Nothobranchius furzeri: one gene and its partner. The protein of the gene in region 1 interacts with the protein of each later gene in a pairwise test. Links are inferred from orthologs where the notes say so. Each region holds a gene or a part of one and is shown on either strand. Other genes may lie near its edges.

Evidence for each region.
Region 2: the proteins of mapk7 (region 1) and ube2c interact in binary tests that used the Homo sapiens proteins (3 or more experiments, as listed by UniProt). The two-hybrid records come from large-scale screens. The link is inferred for Nothobranchius furzeri from reciprocal best matches to the Homo sapiens genes MAPK7 and UBE2C.

Annotation. Positions count from the first base shown.
Region 1 is NC_091756.1:34,355,442-34,363,342, reverse strand, and holds the start of mapk7 (mitogen-activated protein kinase 7), read left to right. Parts: upstream 1-3,223; 5' UTR 3,224-3,484; intron 3,485-4,910; 5' UTR 4,911-4,914; coding exon 4,915-5,179; intron 5,180-5,250; coding exon of another isoform or gene 5,251-5,265; coding exon 5,266-5,431; intron 5,432-5,556; coding exon 5,557-7,043; coding exon of another isoform or gene 7,044-7,115; coding exon 7,116-7,901. Other genes in the region: vkorc1 (vitamin K epoxide reductase complex subunit 1), read right to left, coding at 55-164, 598-779. UniProt on the Homo sapiens protein: Plays a role in various cellular processes such as proliferation, differentiation and cell survival. The upstream activator of MAPK7 is the MAPK kinase MAP2K5.
Region 2 is NC_091743.1:77,060,069-77,068,001, reverse strand, and holds ube2c (ubiquitin-conjugating enzyme E2 C), read left to right. Parts: upstream 1-2,797; 5' UTR 2,798-2,903; intron 2,904-3,149; 5' UTR 3,150-3,169; coding exon 3,170-3,276; intron 3,277-4,318; coding exon 4,319-4,346; intron 4,347-4,787; coding exon 4,788-4,874; intron 4,875-4,962; coding exon 4,963-5,167; intron 5,168-5,272; coding exon 5,273-5,332; intron 5,333-6,006; coding exon 6,007-6,044; 3' UTR 6,045-6,136; downstream 6,137-7,933. Other genes in the region: pik3c2b (phosphatidylinositol 4-phosphate 3-kinase C2 domain-containing subunit beta), read left to right, coding at 1-45. UniProt on the Homo sapiens protein: Accepts ubiquitin from the E1 complex and catalyzes its covalent attachment to other proteins. In vitro catalyzes 'Lys-11'- and 'Lys-48'-linked polyubiquitination.

The DNA of each region.
Region 1 (7,901 bases):
AAGAAAAAAGCTTTCAGTCTAAAAACGCTGTTCTGGATTTAACATCAGACTAACCGAGGCCCATCTGTAGAGTGTAAAATATGATGCCAAGCAAACTGTTGGGTTGGTTCAGGGGGCTGTCTTTGTCCACGAAGAACTGGACCAGACCAAAACCACGTCCCCATCTGCAGAAAAAAAGAGTCAAAGTTCAGGCAAAACGCTTGTCTTGATAAATTACGTTTTTGCTTCTATTAAAACCCATCCATCCAATTGTCTTGTTATTCGTAGATAAATACTCCCACAATTTAAAATTGCATTCAAATGATTAACAAAATACTGTTTAGCAAAGGCTTTGGCATGTCTAGCAGAGGGACTCTGAGCTTTTCTGGAACAACAAGAAAGATAATTCCAATTGTTTTAAACAGCTACTCTAACAAAGACCAGTGTGCATGTGCATATTGGTGCAAGTGATGGAAAGTATTTCAATAATTTAACACGTGGATACCAAAGAGCTAGCAATCCCACGAGGAATCTGTTCTTGCGAAAATAAACCATATCAGCGAGGTTTGTTGGTTCTGCAGCTGTCTAAACAGAGCGAGGGGAGGAGAGATCTCCTACCTGGAGGTGAAAACCTTGGAGCAGCTCACGGATTCCCCCAGGTCACACATAGCTCTGTAGTCTGGGTCTCTCTCTCTGGAGATTTCCACATGGAGGGCATAAACAGACAGACACAGACCGAACAAACACAAAAACACTCTCGCTTTTCTCTCCCATCTCGGTAAACCCTGACGCGCAGCCATAAGGGAGACTTGGAACTATTATTTGTGTCGAACTGAAGAACTGACCCCTGGAACCGAACAGAATCCTCACGCAAAGCAACGTGTTACGTGTTAGAAACGCCATTTTCACTTCTGATTGGTCTAATAGTGTTTCATCCCTCTCTCTCTAACTGGACGATTCGGTCCACGTGTTACAGCAGACAGGAAGAGTTCTCTTGTTTCTTATTATTATATTTTTTATTTAGTAAATTTACAAACAAACATGGCACTTTGACAATGTTAAGTCCAAAACTTAAATTCAAAAGGAGCAGTTAACTTGCTATAACATTTGTAAATATCTAGTAATAAGACAACAACAAGAGACAAAAGAACATAAAGAACAAGTAGAGTACAGCTTTCAATGAGGGTACAGCATTTATCATATAGAAATAGGAAATCACTTTGGAAGTTCAGCTAACGTGTTATATAGATTTTTGCTATATTTGTTGAGGTGTTTCAGAGATTTTAAACATAATTGAAATTCTATTAAAAAACATTGAAGACATGGGATGATTGTAAAATTCATTGTTTATGGGTACAAAATTGGTTGTTTCTTGTTTAAAGGGACTTTTCGGACTTTTGAATTTTTATGCTCGCGATTGCCCCCTCAGGCCAAAAGCGTAACGGCAGCTTCAATAGTAGGCTTGTGCACGAGGCGCGCATGCTGTACGTGCACACTCCTTAAGGAAAATATATAACAGCTGAGACAGTCCCGTGTGTGTGTGTGTGTGTGTGTGTGTGTGTGTGTGTGTGTGTGTGTGTGTGTGTGTGTGTGTGTGTGTGTGTGTGTGTGTGTGTGGCCCGGAGGACAGAGGACAAGAGAACACTCAGTTAATTAATTAAATAATTTGGTTCTGTACTCTTCAGCACAGCCGACAAAGGTTTAAGATGGGTCAGTCCTCCTGCATGCTCAGATCATTCCCTTCCCTTGCTTGAACAATTGTTCCAAAATGAAAGTTGAACCCACATCTTTTTTATTCGTGAATTCAATGCCTTTCGGTGAGTCTCAAAAAAAAATTTGGGCATCTTATTACTGTAAAAAACATATACCATCAATGTAAATATAGTCGAGTGTTCACCAAACTAGGGTTCTTATGTAAATCACAGAGGTGTGACCAAGTCACTGCTTTGCAAGTCACAAGTAAGTTACAAGTCTTTCCAGTCAAGTCAAAGACAACCAAGTCCAAGTCGAGTCCAAAGTCAATGATATGGAAGTCCAAGTCAAGTCCAAGTCCTTAACTTTGAATTTTCAAGTCATAATCAAGTCATCTGTCCAACTTCAATTGAACCCTCCTACTGTCCTAATGGGTGACCCCGCCAGGAAAGTTGACCATTGAGCAGGAATGACGGTTTATCCCTTGAGGTCCATGTGGCAGCAGGGGTGAGGTCATATAAACCATCAACCCTGCTCAATGGTCAACGTTCCTGGCGGGGCCACCCATTAGGACAGTGGGAGGGTTAATGACAATGATAATAAATAAATTCCAGAAATAAAGCTTCTTTAAAATCCATTTATTTGCTGAAACAAGTAAAAAGTGCAACTGAAATAGATTACAAACAAAGTGCTGCTGCATTTAGCAGAACAAGATCAAACCCAGAACGAAGAATGATGTAAGATTTTTGTTCATGTCATGTCCCTTTTGTGCTAAAATATGAAAAACGCTCAAGTCGTCATCAAGTCAACAGATGCAAGTCGATTCATATCGCAAGTCATTGGAGTTCAAGTCTAAGTCAAGTCGTAAGTCTTTATAGATTTTATCAAGTCAGAAGTCATTAAAATAAACACTCGAGTCTGACTCAAGTCCAAGTCGTGTGACTCGAGTCCACACCTCTGTTAAATCGTGTTGTTATAATTGAATACGACACATTTACCGGTTCTGGACAAATTGTGTTGCTTTGTTCAAAAAGTACAAAGTACACAAACCATGAAAGCAAATTAAAACAGTATTTAAAATTGGTATCATACGTAAGCTCACATCAAAAACGTGCCTCAACAGGCTAAAAGCTATTATTTTAAAAATGTCATCTTTTCTGAAAAAAAAAAAATTAACTAATGTAATTTGTGCTTTAATTCTATTTAGAAGGGGGGTTCAGTAAGATCTTATTTAAAACAAACTTTTATTAATTTTCTGCCGAAAGATAATTCCTCCTTTTTAGAAGTCTTTTGACTAATATTTTATTATTTTACCATTTAGAATTTGCTACAGTCCCTTGATTGCTCCATATACAAATTGTTTGTATAACACTGGCTGGTATTTTTTGCTCGATCGGAATCTGGCAAATTGCAGCGTCGCCACCCAAAATTAAATAAATACCACAGAGCCCTTAGTGTCCAATGTAAAGTCCCGCCCTCTTTAGACGTTCTCTATTCCTATTGGTTAGTTTTCTGGTCCTCCTCTCCTTTAATTGGTCCGCCGCTTGGCACTCAACTAAAACATGGAAGTGATTGAGGAAGCTGCAGACAAAACAACTGTATAATCGTGCAGGTTGGCGATTTAAAAAAGAGTGGACCGTAGGGGCTTTGCTCACGACTTGGACGCATTGTACGCAATTTGTAAACGGGGTTTCGAAGTGTGAAGTTTTGTTTTCATGTGGATGAAGTTATGGTTTTACGGCTCAAGAGAAACCTAGAGCCTCACGTAACGTTAACTAGCCGACGCCCCTGTGGGTTAGGCTGCTCCTGTCAAGTAAGTTATTCTTTGTTACCATGTAACGTCAATGTTTAAATGCTGTAATCATCCGCTTCAGTTGGGTTCGTCATCAGGCTTCTCTAAACACTAAAAGCTACAGGTTTGGTCTAAAAGAGTTCAATCCAGGCCTCAAGGTGTGAAGTAAACGAGGAACAATGCACTGCTAAAAATAAAGGAAACACAAAAATAAGACACCCTAGATCTGAATGAATGAAGTATCGTTATTAATCTCATGAGGGATCTCCTCCGAGATCTGGACTAAAGCATCCACCAACTTCTGGACAGTGTGTGGCAACGTGGTGTTGGTGGATGGAGCGAGATGATGTTCCAGATGTGCTCAATTAGACTCAGTTCAGGGAAACGGGCGGGCCAGTCCATAGCATCAGTGCCTTGTCAGGTGAAACTGACTGTTGCTTCCTAAGTGGACAATTTGGTTTCACAGAAGTGTGATTGACTTGGAATTACATTGTGCAGTTTATGCGTTCACTTTATTTTCTTGAGCAGTGCATTTAAACCAGGAGCACGTACGAGCTATCTCATATACTACATAAATTAATTAATGAAAAGGCAATAAAATAAAGATAAAATAATATTTTTAAGATGATTAATGTCTCCGTGCTGTTGGAATACACACACACACACACACACACACACACACACACACTCTATGTGTAACTTTTTCACAGGCTGGCAAAGTATGGGATTTTTTCCAAGTTCGGATTAGTACAGAAGAAAATGAAAAGACTTGAAACTCTACGTTTATGTTTATTCCCAGAAAAAAAATATGACTGAATAATGCATTATGGCAGTCAATGGCATAGATGCCATTAATTACAGTTAACAGCTGTGTATTAAACCTTAACAGAAGATCATTTTGAATTAAATTTCAAAAACAGACAGAAAAATGAATGAAAATAATAAAATAAGATCCAGAGTTGTCTAAAATTTGTGCAAACTCTTAATGCTTTTTTAGTGATTCCATTAATTTTTTTAAAATGACATCTGAGGTTACGTCTTATTTCTTCATAGACAGTTAAATGAACATTTTTACCTATTCAATAATCCCAGGTGTACCTCTGCTCAAATAATTTTTAAATGTTACCACAAACATTTTTTTCTTTGATTTAGCAAAACAATTTACTAAGTAAACATAATAACTTCAGAACATATTATTAAGGTTCACCAACAGTCTATGTTTTCATGGTTTACGTCTGGCCCATTTCATCAGTTGGTAAGAGTGTTTAATACCTTTTTTAAATAAGCAGAGAAACTTTGTCTTTATAAACATGTAAAAACTTAAAACGCTTATCAATCACAACATTGACTTCATAATCATTTATGTAATAATAAAATAATATTTGACAGATATTCAGAGAAGGACATGGGAAACAATATAACTTACGGACTCACTTTGGTACTACAGAAACATGTCCACTGAGCGCTGTGGAGATGCCAAAAGCACCATGTCGCCTGAAAAAATGGCCACCGAAAACAGCAGAGAGAGCCAGAACCAGCGTGAGGCCGAGGCAGCAGGCAGCACCTCAGACACCAGCACAGCAGCAACAAACCTGGCTTTGCTTAAAGCGCACTCTCTAGATGTGAAGTTCGATGTTGGGGAGGAGTACGATATCATAGAAACCATTGGTACTGGTGCTTATGGCGTCGTTTCATCGGCCAGAAGAAGGGACAACGGTAAGGAAGATGTCTTTAAAGAGTTTGGAAAATGTCCTCTGTTTGAAATAAGTCACGATGAAATGTTCTACATGTGCACTCCACAGGCAAGCAGGTGGCGATAAAGAAGATCTCCAATGCTTTTGAAGTGGTAACAAATGCTAAACGAACATTAAGAGAGCTGAAGATTCTCAAGCATTTCAAACATGACAACATTATTGCCATCAAAGACATCCTACAGCCGAACCTTCCCCACTCTGCCTTTAAGTCCGTGTATGTAATGTACTTTATTGTTTTTGTGATGCCAACTCTGCACATATCTGAACATTACACTGTTGCAAACACAAGATCCTTAGTATTTGGTCAGCTGCTTGTCTAAGTCATCTCTGTGTGTGCAGGTATGTGGTGTTGGACCTCATGGAGAGTGACCTACACCAGATCATTCACTCTGCGCAGACTCTAACCCCTGAGCACACGCGTTACTTCCTGTACCAGCTCCTCCGTGGCCTCAAATACGTGCACTCTGCCAATGTCATCCACCGCGACCTCAAACCCTCCAACCTGTTGGTGAATGAAAACTGTGAGCTGAAAATTGGTGACTTTGGCATGGCGAGGGGTCTGAGTTCACACCCAGAGGAGTCTCACTCCTTCATGACGGAGTACGTGGCGACCCGATGGTACCGTGCTCCTGAGCTGCTTCTGTCTTTGAACCATTACAGTTTGGCCATTGACATGTGGTCTGTGGGCTGCATCTTCGCTGAAATGTTGGGCCGTAAACAGCTTTTTCCTGGGAAACATTATGTGCACCAGCTCCAGCTGATTTTGAGTGTGCTAGGCACTCCTCCTGAGGATTTGATCAGCACCATTAGAGCTGAGAGGGTCCGTTCCTATGTTCAGAGTCTTCCACCGCGGACCCCTGTGCCTTTGGCTAAACTGTACCCCCAAGCTGAACCGGAGGCTTTAGGCCTATTGGCGGCTATGTTGCGCTTCAATTCCCGTGAACGCATCAGCGTGAAGGACGCACTGGAGCATCCTTACCTGGCTAAGTACCATGACTCGGACGACGAGCCCAGCTGTGTGCCAGCTTTTGACTTTGAGTTTGATAAGCTTCCAATGAATAAAGAACAAATTAAAGAGGCCATTTTGATGGAGATCCAGGACTTTCATAAAAAGAACCTGAACTGTCGTCAAAGACTCCAGTTCAGGCCTTTGCCTAGGGCCCATAGTGGAGCGGCAGCTCAAAACAGCAACCAGCAAAGAGCTCAACCAGTAAATGTGGACCTGAACAAACAAATGGCACAGCACACACAAATCCAGCAACCCAGAGATGTGAAACCTCATCAGCAACACGATCAGCCACCAGCAGATGTGAGCCAAGCATTTTCAAACCAGATAAAAACCTTTCATAAGCCTGCAGATCTTTTAGAAGTCGTCCCACCTCATGTGACCCATAATTTCCCCCTCCTCAGTAAAAGCCAAGCGTGTCCCGTTGATGTGGACATGCCCAGTGCCAACTCTGACAGTGGTCAGCTGGAGACAATTGATTTAACAACCCCAGTGTCCACTCAGGATGCTCCGTCTGAATCGATGAGAGTCAGCGAGTCCCAGCTGCCTCCTAGCACCCAGAGCCGGCCCGTGGCCTCCATCCCTGCGACACAAGCACAGACCATCACCCCCCTTCCCACCACTGTGCCTTCACTTTCTCTGTCGGCAGCGCAGGCCCAGTCTCTGTCCCAGTCACTTTCCCAGTCTCTGTCCAAGAATGCAAGGCCTCCTCCGCGTGCACCAGAGGGAACCAGGAAAGGCACCGCCATTTCAGACGATACTAAAGCTGCACTCAAGGCAGCCCTACTGAAATCAGCTCTCAGACATAAAGTCAGGACCGGTAAGTTCATTTTTCTACCATCCTCTCTGGTATGCTTCCCTTTCTCGATTTGATTCTGATTGTGTTTTGCAGATGGAGGTGTCTCAGTTCTGGGCACTGACGCGGTTATATCAGGAGGCATCTCGTCTTCTACTCCTGAGTTGCGGCGGCCTGTCACAGCCCAGGAGCGTCAACGAGAGAGAGAAGAGAAAAGAAGGAAGAGGCAGGAACGCGCAAAAGAGAAGGAGAGGAAAATGAAAGAAAAGGAAAGACGAGAGGGAAAACAAGGGGATTTGCTGGGTGGTGTTCTGCTGAGCGACAACGACAAAAGCCTGCTGCAGCGCTGGACGAAGATGATGGACAGCTGCAGCGACAAATCCCATAATGCTAGTAACGAGGGACCAAAGGGTAAGGATTGTAACTCACACAGATGTGTCGGCGAAAACGTCCTGAACAATAAAACTGACAGAGACGTGAGGAAAATTCAGTCAAATGAGCCTTTGGTCCCTCAGATGAAAAGAAACCAGCCGGGGCTGTTTCCTCCTCCCAACACGCAGCAGCTGCCTTTCTCCAAGTCTCCAGCAGATGTCGTCGCTGCTGTGAGCGGAGGGGTGGATATCATGACCGTCACCGGTGGATTAGTTAAAAACGGCTCACTCAAACCTTGCGCTGACAGCAGCATTCCGGGTGGATTCGGCTGTGGAGTGGGGAGTTGGAGCGGGCAGCAGCTGGAGACCAGGCCTTCTCAGCAACCCAACAGAACATCGCAGTCACCACCGAGCTTCCTCCAGCCTCATGGTCAGACCCAACACCACCCCAAACCTCAGCTGCAACCCCTCGAGAGTTTTTTGTCGAAAGCCTCGACGGTGAACACCCGAG
Region 2 (7,933 bases), on another chromosome or scaffold:
GACTGGCACCAGCTGGGTGGGGCTGGCTCAGACTCGGCCCACTGACACAGTGGAAACAAAGGAAAGTCCTTTCAAAGTAAAAGCTGTGAAGGCTTAACCTCCCTTAGATTGTGTATGAGTGGGGTTAGCACCAGGTGAGAATTCTTCAGGTGATTGTTTGTAGTTTGCAGGATTAAAATTGTTTTTAAAGGGAGTTTCCCATCACTGTTGGATAGAAGAGGCAAATCTGAGATGATTTTCCTGGACATTAGGTAAAAACTGAACTAGCAGACTAATTTCAACTGGAGTCTCACCTGTGACCTGAAAGGACAGGTGAGGAGCTCAGAGGATTCATCTTTATCTGATTTAAAGCTGAAGCTGTGGTGAGTTGTTCTGTGTATCACAAGGAAGCAGAAATCAGCTGAGTGGAAACTTTGTCTGACTAACGCAAGTCCCATCGACCCGGAAGCCGATCTCGGATCAGAGACTAAAAAACAAACATTTCACCGAAGAGATGGGAAACAAAGGGATGAAAAGACAACTTCGCTGGAGGTTTCTGGATGAAACAAGCTGCTGAACTGTTGATTAAACAAAATCTTATCTCCTGAAAATAAATCAAGGCTGAGCTCAGAGATGAAGCAGCTGGAGCAGGTCAGGGGTCAAAGATCAGGGGTCAGGTGATGTTCTGCTGCTGCATTTCTGAGTCATGTGTTTTTTTGTTTTGTTTGTTGAATTCCTTTGGTTTCTATGCACTGTAGACCAGATGAGAGCAGCAGAACTCAAACGGGTCATCCAGCTGCAGTTGGAGCAAAGTGGATCAGAACCATATCAGAACTCTATAGGCTGAACTCGGACCTAGGTCCTGCTCAGTGGTCCGTGAGAGGTCACTGGTTTTGGACAAATGGAGCTGCATTCCTCTTTTGGATGTGACCGATACCGAGCTCTGTCATCACGGTAACAGATGATGGAGACCTACGCTCATCGGTCTCTGAGGACTGGCTGCTGTAGGTTGTGGACTGTGATTGGTTCACTGATCCAGAGACAGAAAATCAGCTGACCAGATGGAATGCAGATGTGTTGAGTGAAGCTCCGTCCACCAGCTGACCCAGACAGGTGAGTGGTTTGAGTCGTTAAGCTGACTGAACTTTGTGAAAATGAAAATGTGACGAGTTTGGAAACTTTTTTTATTATTTGCACTAAACAATAAACTTTAATTGAAAACTTCTGTTTGTGTTTTTGTTCAGATTCAGGTGGGGCCGTGCGCCAGTGACTCAAATAATTATGGGATCTGTGAAATGATGCAGTTTAATTCTAAATAATACGGTGAAGGTGCTACAAAGTCCTAAAACGTTCCAGATAGGTCTGAGGGGCATTGTGAGAGAATATGGTGATAAAATGCTTTAAAAAGAAAAATATTGTCATGACATCATTTTTAACCTTTCAAAGAAAATTCACAAAAATACTTGAAATGTTAAGTTTTAATCCTTGAATTAAATAGAGAAAAATTATTTTATTTTTTACCTTTGTGATTTTGTTCTTGTATTCTAGTTTAAAAACCTGTTTTTCCTAATTAATGGGATTTGGTTGCAACAACAAAAAACTTTCATTTTCTTGTTCACTTTGTATTTATGGTTTGTGGTATTATTGTTGCTTTGAAAAAATAAACATGGGCTTACACACACACACACAATTCCCATCTCACCCTCCGCGGGTGGTCTCATCCAAGCTTGGGTCCTCTACCAGAGGCCTGGGAGCTTGAGGGTTCTGCAGTATCTTAGCTGTTCCTAGAGCTGCACTTTTCTGGACTGAGATGGTTTTCCTGGGATTCCTCCAGTCTGGGGGTTACTGCCCTGATGCCCATGAGCACCACCGATGTCTTCATTCTCCAGGCTTTCTCAAGTTCTTCTTTGAGGCCCAGGTAGTTTCTCATGCTCCTTTTTCCTGAGGTTACATCACTTTGTATCGCTATATCAACCACAACAGCTGTCCTCTGTTGTTTGTCCTCCAACACAATGTCCGGATGGTTCTCCATCACCATTTTATCAGTTTGGATCTGGAAGTCCCACAAGAGCTTGGCTCTTGTTCTCAACCACCTTAGGGGGTGTTACCCACTTTGACCTTGGGGCTTCCAGTCCATGCTCTGCACAGACGTTCCTGTACACTATGCCAGCAGCTTGGTTGTGGCGTTCCTTGTATGCTTTCCTTCCCAGCATCTTACACCCTGCAGTTATGTGGTGGATTGTCTCAGGGTTCTACACCTTGGGTCTTGTCTGGTGTGGTAGATGTTCAGGGCCTGTTCCTGTGCAGCCATGATGAGTGCCTCTGTGCTATTCTTCAGACCAGCTCTTTCTAGTTCTTGGTAGGATTTCTTGATATCAGCCACTTCATTATATATATATATATATATATATATATATATATATATATATATATATATATATATATATATATATATATATATATATATATATATATATATATATATTCCCCTCTGACCCTCTGCAGGTGTACTCATCCTCCCAAGCTCCAATTTTTGTGATCCATCATTTAACTTGATTTAGGCTCTTGACTCTTCTAGGAGATTTTATACATCCCTGTAGGAGGAGGGGTAAACAAAAATGTGTTTAATAACTTAGATTTTAAGTTCATTTATTTAAAAAACGCGTTTAAAATAACAAATTGAACCAATGACTTCCGCTGTGTGAACGCCTAGATGGTGGGGGCGGGTTCTGGCTGATTCTACTGGCCAATTACAGTGTAGCTTTTTAATCACCATCTTCTCATTGGTTCGATGAGGGTAGTTCATTTTTTGAAAGTCAGACACTGATTGGCTGTTTGTGAGGAAACGTCGTTTTAAACTGGGGGCGGCAGAAGAATCGGTTTGAATCTAGAGAATCCAGCCTTCCACCACGAACTGAACACCGGTGAGTGTTTAAATCAGCTATAGTATGGCTATAAATGTAATCATGTGTTAGCATGAAGACAAAGAGCCAGTGGTTCTGACCGGTACCACGAGGCACGGCTCAGCGTTTTCTCTGAAATCTCCGGGAGTTAGCATGTAGCTGCTGTTAGCTACAGAAGCTACGGCCCGCTCGGTTGGATTTGATCGGCTCGGTTCGGCCTGCCTCCCCTGCTCAGTCCGTCTGATGTTATATCTGTGTCCTCGGCAGGAGTCGGACTAGCAGCATTCATGGCCTCCCAGAATATGGACCCCGCCGCGGCTGCAGCTTCCTCCACGGCCGCTCTGAAAGGCAGCGAAAGCAGTGGCAACGCGACCAGAGGCTCGGTGACCAAACGGTGAGTTCCGGGCCGTTACAGAACCGGAACCTTACAGGTGTAAAGAATGGGTCGTTTACATCTTACTTCTGAACCATAAAATGTGAGATTCCATAGAAATATGAAATATCAATCTGATGGATCTTTGTTCAGAAGATCGGAACTTTTTATTGCAGGGATTAAGCAACACTTTGTACTAACTCCAAGGAAAGAGAGAGAGTCAGGTTTAAAATAGTTAAAGAAATGTACTTCTACACAATTTAAACAAGAATAACTTAAACACTGTGTACTGATGGAACTAAGGTGGTGTGTGTGTGTGTGTGTGTGTGTGTGTGTGTGTGTGTGATGTTGTTCAGAACCAGCGGCTCCGTAGAAGCAGTTAATTCTGAGTGGGAGTGAATGTTTTGCTCTAAACTTTAGTTGGAGATATATAACACACATGAAACGCCATCTGTCGGTCTACGTTTCTGCTGGACTTGGTTCTTCTTTGGACAATAAAATATCAATAACCCAGTGAGTTCTCCAGCAATGTGAGCCTGCAGCTGCATAACTAGAGATGTGCCAGGATAATCTAAACTAACCTAGAGTCTACGCAAAGGTGCTTCTGCTTGATGTGGTGGAAACATGAAGCTGGTTCCACCAGAGGAGCCTGAGAACTGGAAGTTCTGCCTCCTTACTACTTTTAGGACCGCTGGAAAGTTGAAGCCACAAGTAAAAAGCAGCCTGAGAGCCAAGTGTTCTGCTGGGAACATCTGGAACAAGAGCATCATTAATCGAAAAAGCGTGATCCTTCAGATTTGGAAATAAAATTGAAACTCAATTCTGGATATTTTAGCTAATGAAGTGATCCTAAAACTGAAGAAATCTGATCTCTCCTGGTTTTATTCATCACAAAAATGAATTTTATGAAACAGGAAAGTTTGAGTTGTTAACTGATCAGGTGCTTGAATTTTTTTTATTTGTGAAACAAATTGTTCTGTTATTGATCTTATTACTGCAGCTTATTTCTGGACCTGTGTTGCACTTGTTTAATTCGTATGTGTGTGTGTGTGTGTGTGTGTAGGTTGCAGCAGGAGCTGATGACTCTCATGGTAAGTTCACATCTATAGTTTTATTTTGGTTTCAATAACAAAATGAAAGATGGACGATCCTAACGGGTCACAGGACAGTTGTTAGTCAGAATGTTAACGAACCTGATGACCTGCACAAGTTCATCCTCATTGGGTGGTGGTGTTTACTCATTGATTGATGCACCCATAGTCACACGATCTCCTGCCTCAACACTAATGCAGAGTTGGTGCTGGTTAGGATGAGTGTTTAGCTTGAAGTGCACAGGTGGCGTTAGTCATCTGCAGGTCAGCTGCTCCGTTCTCATCCAGACACTTATCAATGATTTGTTTGTTTCTGTGATTGATTTCTCTGGTCTGATCATTCACACAGGAGCATCAATACCAACATACCTGACATTAGTAAAATCAACAAAACCTGATATTTCTGAGGTCATGTGACCTGTGCGTTCCTCCCTCCTGTAGATGTCGGGTGATAAGGGCATCTCTGCTTTTCCAGAATCGGATAATCTCTTCAAATGGGTCGGAACCATCGATGGAGCCCAAGGAACAGTATGACCACATAAATACAGCACGATCTAAAACTTGACCCCTCCACTTGCTGCTCTGATTCACCCGACACTCTTACCTGTGTGCCCAGGTGTACGAAGGCCTCCGGTACCGTCTGTCTCTGGAGTTTCCAGCTGGGTATCCGTACCATGCTCCTCGGGTAAAGTTCGTCACTCCGTGTTTCCATCCCAATGTGGACGATCAGGGCTTCATCTGTCTCGACATCCTGAAGGACAAGTGGTCGGCACTGTACGATGTTCGTTCTATCCTGCTGTCCATCCAGAGTCTACTGGGAGGTAACCGGAACCACCAGTTTGCTGTCTGCTAAAACCTGATGGATCCATCAGAGCCATCTTTGCACAGCTCAGAGAGCAGCACACAATTCCTTCTGTATTCCCCAGAACCAAACAACGAGAGTCCTCTGAACACGACCGCAGCAGAACTGTGGAGCAACCAAGGTGGTAAGTACACCCACAACCTTTCAGGCAGCCAGCAGAACCCAGAGAACGGCCAGCTACTAATACAATCGGTGTTTGGGTACTTTTGAGCAGTTCTCTTTTGTGACTTTGCTGGTGAAGGTTCTGTCATCCAGGTCATGGTAACCCAAAAGGATTCAAATGAAAGTGACTGGACTTCTTTGGTTTGAAGACGTTTCGCTTCTCATCCGAGGAGCTTTGTCAGTTCTAACTGGAAATGGGAGAGTCAAGCTTATAAGCTGTAGCTGCCTATTGTCTATAGAGGCCAACGACTCAGTGGGTAGAGAGGAGGGGTACTCAGAGTAGTTTCGGCTCGTTAAATAACAGATTCCAGTCAGAATTGACAAAGCTCCTCAAAGGAGAAGCAAAACGTCTTCAAGAAGCCAGAGAAGTCCAGTTGCCTTCATTTGAAACCTTTTTGGACTCCTTTTGTGACTTTATTCCTTTTCATTTTAAACATCTGCTGGGTTCAACCTCCTCTGCAGCCAATCAGACAGCTGTCCTTTTAAACTGAGCTGAGCCTGTTTTCTCCTGGAGTGAACTAAATGACCTGCAGATGATACAGATGTAGAACTGACCTCAGACCAGTTTGTGAGCTCTGTACATGCAGCAAACGATTTTGGGAGCTGTAGTTCTGACTGTTTTTTTTCTCTCTCTAGCCTTCAAAGCTCACCTGCACGCTACCTTCCAGAAGTGAAGCAGTCCCAGCTTTTCTTCTTCCGTCTGTTTTGTTTGTATAATATTTTTATGTTTGTTTACATTGTTGTGTCAATAAAGTTCTTAATTCAACACTCTTTCATAAAATAATTTCCTATCTTTACAGTCAATAATACTGACAGCATCACAGTAATGAATGAATCAACATAAATGTTTATTCTGGAAATGTTTTATTTCAGATCTTAAAAACACCACATGATTCTACTTGTTGAATTTAATGATTTATTATCAGTATATTCACATAATATTACTATATTGATAATGACTGTATAACAGATTTACTTCATGTTAAGTGTAATGAGCCTCTAAGTGTTGCAGGAACGAAGTGGTGTCTGAAGACGTTCTACATACTGGTTTGTCTAACTTTGTAAAGAACCCGTTTTATAAAAGACAATTTACTTCCTGGATTCTTCAGTTCTAGCACGCTGTCCTGTTAGGCCAACTGGGTCAGTAGCATAAGGAACCATCCTTCTTTGCAAAACTCCCATCAGAGAAACCTCTCAGACGTGCAACATCTCGCCAGCAGACCTGGATGTATCTCACTGGCCAGTTGTGCAAATTCAAAGGAAGCTGCGACCTTTGACCTTCCAGAAGTCAACTCCTCCCAACAGCAAGCTGACTACTCCCTAGCCAGCTGGACCTACCTAGAACTTCCATCACAAGGGTAATCGTGGTCTCTCACCTGGCGACAGGATGGTTTTAATAATTTGTTAAAGAGCAAGTCACCCCCGACCAGATTCTTTCTCAACTCCCACTTCCTGTTTGAAAAATGCAACAAATGCTGTTGCCTAGCAAACAGAGGGTGGAGCCGCTAACAAATACACTCACGACATTGTGACATAATGTCCCATCTAACATCAGGGTACCTCTTAGCCAATAGCAATGGCAGATTTAAATTCAAACGCAGTGCAGAGTTTTTGCCTGATGACGTGCATCGTTGACCGTTTTAGGCAGAAAATTTAAATTTTAACTAAGATGCACTAAAGTGCCAAATTTATTGACTACATTTGTCTACAGCACGATCAGACACTCATTTATAGTTTAACAGCAAAAAAAATGTTGATTTGGAGTGACTTGCTCTTTAAGCATTCAGCTAAACTACTTTTACAACCCAGACATCACAATCTTTTAAGACTTAATTAGGTTTATTAACATAGCATCTAAGCTCGTATTTCATCCTTTCTCATTCAGTTGATATCACCTTAACTCGGCATACATAATCATTTGTCATTTCATTCTAGTAGCAGAAATATAGTAATATAGATTTTTATAAACTATATTTCTGTCTCCGTGTCAAATTATAAGTGCTGTTTCCCTGGCGTACCCAACGTACCTAGTTTCATCATCAATTGAATATCAAAGGCTCAATAAAATTGATAATCCATATTATATGGAAAATTACATTTTATTGAATACCTTTATATTCTATTGATAATTTATTAAAAGTAGCCGCTTACAAACATTGCATCTGCTTAGTTTCCCTTTAGAGATGTTGAACTAAACCTCGTTAAAACATTTTACAAAACAAGCCACAGATGGATGTTTAGCATCTCTAACCGGATGCAGGCGAAGTGAGGAATAATTGGGGCCAGAGGTCAGTTAATGCAGCAGTAGAGCTACAACAGGTCACCTGCCCTCTTGAGAACAGCTGAGTAACAGCAGGAAGCTCGTGCGCTTTAACTTGCATTTGTTATGATCTAATTGATTTGAATAATTATAAAATACAGAGATTTTTTCGTTGTGTTAATGATGCTGTTGGCTGGAGTCTCGCTCCATAAGAAAGGAATAAAGTTACTCTGATTATTTGAACCAATCGGCTAAAAAGACTTTCATCTTCCTTGGCTCTGATCCTGAGTCCTCAAATGTGTC